Linked DNA regions of Kluyveromyces lactis. The protein of the gene in region 1 interacts with the protein of each later gene in a pairwise test. Links are inferred from orthologs where the notes say so. Each region holds a gene or a part of one and is shown on either strand. Other genes may lie near its edges.

Region 1 (3,029 bases):
TTCAAGTGCTATGTTGATATATAGGCAATATTTTCCACCAATTTGGAGGAAGCCTGCAATGTATACCTTGGCTAATGGTACGAAAGTTGAGCAAGATATGACTTTAGCATACGAACCAAAACGTTTTTTCAACGATCAGGAGTTTACATGGAAAGTCGACCCCTCACAACAAAAGGGTGATGGTGAAGAACCAGAAATTGTGACTGTAAGAAATTTGAGTAGACGAACATACCCAAGCAATAGTCACGCAACTATATAGTACCCAAGCATACGACTATCAACTGTTCTTTTTTTCCTTTCTATTTATGCTTTTCCTTTTCATCTATATCAAAAATAAAAAGTGGATCGAAAGTAAATATCATTTCATCATCGAAGTTTACTTCCAGTTTTAAAATATTTGAACAAAAATATTATGTCACAGGATATGTGATAGAGGGTTTCAACTCCACCCCAATTATTTAAATGAGATATTTATAAAGTAAGTGAAAGAAATTTGAGTGAGTTTAAGCTTCTCAGCTTCAAAATTCTTCCCATCCGTCTTCTCCTGAAATCTTCTTTTCTGAAGTTTTGTTTTGTGCCGGAGCTTGGGTATGCGTTGTTGAGGTAGCATCTGCCCCGTCAAACAGTTTCGTGTATTGTGATGAGGTAGCAGGTCCATCCTGTGTTTCCTGTAATTGTTGTTGCAGACCCTTTGTGAAAGAGTTGAGAGCTTGCAGTCCATAACTACTGGATTCTTGGAATTTTTGACCAAACTGCTTGGCAGCCCTGACTGCCTCTTCAGATAGATCTTTTTGTGAGAATTGTTCGACATTTGGTTTGATGATAGATTCTTGAACTTCTTCCATTGATTTCGACACGGCTGAAGAAAATAGGCCCCAACCCTTTGTGAAAGTGCCAAGCGGGTCCTTTTGAAAGTTTTCCAAAGTCAAGGTAGTAGAGCCAGGTTCAGCTTGATTTCCTTTCTTATGTTGAATAATAGGCGTGTTTCCGAAACCTTGATATTTACCACCTTGGGATGGCGGTATATGTTCTGGTTTCTGTAAGTTTTTCTCACCGAGTGTAGCGAAATAGGATTCATTTTTCTCCTTTTGGTTTACTGCTTCTTCAGAGCCAAGTTTTTCAGACAATGAACCATTTAGCTGAGGGGTACCGGACCTAGAGTTAGTTGCTGTAAGCTGGGTTGGGTCAAAATCAGAGCGATCAGGTTCTTCCCATTCTTTGCTTTCACAGATAGCAGTTAGTTTATCTTTATAATCCGAAGCAATAACGTTATCATACTTCAACTTCTGAGGTAAACTCGAATCAATCCCATGGTCTTCCAGATACTCAGTAAATTTGTCATTACCACCGTTTTCCATTCTAACTAGTTCGTCTGATTTGAACTGATCCATAGTGATGGATCTAACGAAGGAGATGTGCACTCCTAATCCTCGGTGAATACCGGCACATTCCAAACAAATGAAAACACCGAATTTAGGCGAGGCCCATTGTGGATTATGAGCCCCACAGTCAAGGCATTTCTTGTTTCCACCAACTTTTTGTAACTGTAACAACCTTCTCCTGTTATCAGGATCGACTTTCCACTCTGACATTGGATCTAGACGGAGAATTTGATAATGATTGTAGTGATCAACTGGAAAAAAAAGAAACACAAGCTTTAAATTCTCAGCTCACTGATTTAAATTGTCAAAAGTGTTATTGATGGCTCCTAACACTTCAGGCACTATCGATAGTTCCAATTCTTCTTAATTGACTTTTGCTTTCCAGCCACAATATCGAACAAATGTTCTACCCCAAAACACAAACTAACGAACCAACACTTAACCTCTAAAGCGTGTCAATACTGTAACAAATATCGAATGATTCACAACACAGATGCTGAGCCCTAATAATCACACTAGGAAGCAGAAGAAACACACGGGTACGTCAGAAACCACAACATTCACCGATTCGTTGATTCTCATGATAATAATCAACATGCTAAATTTCGATTTTCACCGGAAGGTCTAGATTTGAATTTTCATGCAAAGAGATAGAGAAAAAGCCGCCCATGCCCGGGTAACAAATGTTCTTCTGGCTTCGGAAATGAAAGTATTAAACACGAAGCCTGACATCCTGTCTCGAAAAGTTGCGAAACAGCTCGGTACCGGTATCATTACGTTGTTAAAGGGGCGATATAATGGTTGGAACTTGCGTTTTGTTTCTGGAGTGCATTGTATAAGAGTTACTGAACAACTACTAGCATTTTAATAAGCTAATTAGATCAATCAGTACCCGGATAATTTGTTACCCGGACAGAAAATACATCCTTCTCCGCTCTTTATTCAGCAGCTGTAACCTGATAATGCCACTTCTCTATGGCAATTATATAGTCAGACTTGTTAAGCCCGTAAGTAGAAGTAATGATCATCGAATTCAAATGACTCCATCTCCAACTAGGAAGCTAAAACATATTCGCAACTTAGGGGATTGCCCTTTTCTTAGGGTGTTAGTTTGAAATTATCTTCGCTGTGTTTATTGTATATATATATACTGGTGGGTAAATACTGCTAGGTCAACATTTTCTAGATTTAAGGGACATATACTTCATCACTTCGATGAATTGTGACAGGAATTGAGCATAGAGGTACGCAGAAACAGTATAAGAGAGAATGCCTAACACTTTAGATAAAACTTTTGTTGAGAATGGGCCGTGGAAAAAGGATACGTTCCATGGCAAGGTCGTGTTTGTCACCGGAGGGGCAGGAACGATATGCAGGGTACAAACAGAAGCAATGGTGCTTTTAGGTTGTAAAGCTGTAATCGTTGGTAGAAACCCGGAAAAGACGAGGAAAACGGCCCACGAGATTGGACAATTGGTCCATGATCCACACTCTTGTTTGCCCATTTCAAGCGTCGATGTCCGAAATGTGGATCAGTTGCATGAGGCTGTTAAAGTGGCCATTCAAAAATTTGGTAGGTTAGATTACGTTATCGCTGGCGCTGCTGGTAACTTCTTGGCGGACTTTACACATCTATCCTCGAATGCT
Region 2 (2,148 bases), on another chromosome or scaffold:
TATTTATATGTTTATACAAATTTGAGTATTAGGTACATTTTCTTTACCAGTATATAACCACATAGTGGTAGACGGGAATGAAATGCATTTCTATTCATGTCAGAAAAATGATGAAGCATGGCCAAATTAATGCTATAGTTCTGAGAAGAATAAGTTTATCTGCTAGATTTTTTAAGGTAAACATATATGATCAACAGAAATGCACATGCAAATGTCCCGGTCTAAATAGCATGTATCAAAAAGGAAAGAAAAAGCACAGAAGCTACTGTTAATGCCAGGCTTCCATGACTAATCCATATCGCATCTTTGCACAATTTAGATGGCATCACATGGTCTGATGGAATATCGTATAGAGTATCGGATTGATTTCGTATCATTAAAAGTAAGAATCGTGATAAAGCAGGGACAAAAAAAAGCATAAAACTGTAGATGAACGGGTTTCAAAATGAAATAAAACAGGAACCTTTGAGTTCAACCCTATGATAATCTTGAGGTTGATATTCATCCTATTCATTTAGAAACTCTAGCTGAAATGAACTGCGATAGGAACGATGATGACAATCAAAAGTATAATTACCACTAGAACCAAACACATTCTCATCTTCAAATCTTTCCACCACATTTGCTTTCTTACTCTGTTGGCCCCTCTTTTGAAACCTTGGGCGGACACGGCCAAATTGTCAGCCTTGTCTTGTATCGATGTTAGCCTTTCACCACGTTCGGCAACTTTGTTAATGTTATCTCTCATAATATCGACGGTATCATCGATTTCCTATTTGTAGAGACAAAACAGACAGACGGACAGCAATCGTCATGTCGTTTCAACTCAAACTGTTAGTATCTTTGAAGTTCATATTAGAGCTAAAGTAAAATAGTTAAATGCATTTCAAACATACGGATTTCAAAGCTGCAGTCTTTGAGTCACCTGCGGTCTCTTCGGTAGCAGGGACATATGGGTCGTATGGAACAGATGATGACATTGTTGCTTAATTATTTTATACTTCTCAGCACCTAAGTTCCGGTTCAATTGATAGCAAACTATTATTTCACAACTACTAGTCAAATCTCACTGCAAATTGGTTAGTACTTTTGAAAATGGTTCAAATCCACCATGATAAAGGTTTAAAAGCCTGTTTGTTCTTTAAATTAACTTCTAAATCTATCCATTTTTCGATTTGCCGTTCAAAAAACAGTACCGGGGACAAATTGCCACCGTCAATAGTGATTAGGATTTGAATCTATACGTGCATAGTGATTAATGGTTTGTGAATCAAGACACGAAGCCTTACGCGTAAATGATATTTTACTACATAGACAACAAAACTATGTTACATTTACAATCTAAATAATCCTCCGCTAAAGCACGTCATGGCTACTACTATAAGGCTAATATCAACTAGAACATTTCGACAAATGTTGCAGCTTCCTTAACGATGTACAATCTCCGAGAAAGAAGAACAAGATATTTTAAACAACAGAATGGTGTAGTGCGGAGGAAGCAACGCTCACAGGGCGATTCATGTCTGTCAGAAGTTAGCTCTGTTAATACACTTGTCGATGATGATGACGATGAAGGCGTTTATTCTGATTCAAATTGTGGAGAAGGTGAAGACCCGCACTTTTCATCTTGTGAAGAGAACACTGAAATGTATCCAAAAGATGACGATGATGATGATGATGATGATGATGCAGGTGAAATCACGAACAGTAAATCAATCCCAACAGAACCTCAGAATGAGTCTGAAAAACCTATGTTCAACAGAGCAACATAAAACGATTCCTCATTCGAAGCTCGACAGAATGTCAATAATTGCAAAGTAGCAGAACAGGGCACGACCATGCAACAATCAATTCGTTCATCTTCAGTAAATGAGCATGGAACTGCTATATCTCAAGAACTGAATGGTTCTTTACAGTATACTGGTACTGTCAATATTATCCAAACAATTTCGATTCCTTCCTCAAACTGGGACTACTCTGGGAGTTCAAAAAATAAACCACATGACACTTTCCTTCAACCTAGCGACTTCCACGGTTATGGCAGTTCAAGTGACTCAGATCGAAACATAGATTCAAAATCGACAGCCATCCAGCGAAGCGAAACACATGCTAACGAATATCTCAGATCAGAAGCAGCATTCAAGAGGA

Evidence for each region. The genes of interacting proteins can lie anywhere in the genome.
Region 2: the proteins of SPS18 (region 1) and KLLA0_A03883g interact in a two-hybrid assay, tested with the Saccharomyces cerevisiae proteins (2 studies listed by BioGRID). The link is inferred for Kluyveromyces lactis from reciprocal best matches to the Saccharomyces cerevisiae genes GCS1 and SNC2.

The regions. Positions count from the first base shown.
Region 1 is NC_006040.1:1,593,123-1,596,151, reverse strand, and holds SPS18 (Sps18p), read right to left. Parts: upstream 1,593-3,029; coding exon 519-1,592; downstream 1-518. Other genes in the region: KLLA0_D18964g (phosphatase PAP2 family protein), read left to right, coding at 1-259; SPS19 (2,4-dienoyl-CoA reductase (NADPH)), read left to right, coding at 2,652-3,029. UniProt on the Saccharomyces cerevisiae protein: GTPase-activating protein (GAP) for ARF1 and ARF2. Involved in intracellular vesicular transport. Required for transport from the trans-Golgi network.
Region 2 is NC_006037.1:343,474-345,621, reverse strand, and holds KLLA0_A03883g (uncharacterized protein), read right to left. Parts: upstream 981-2,148; coding exon 897-980; intron 773-896; coding exon 524-772; downstream 1-523. UniProt on the Saccharomyces cerevisiae protein: SNC1 and SNC2 are vesicle-targeting proteins essential for normal secretory traffic between the Golgi and the plasma membrane. They may also be involved in vesicle fusion.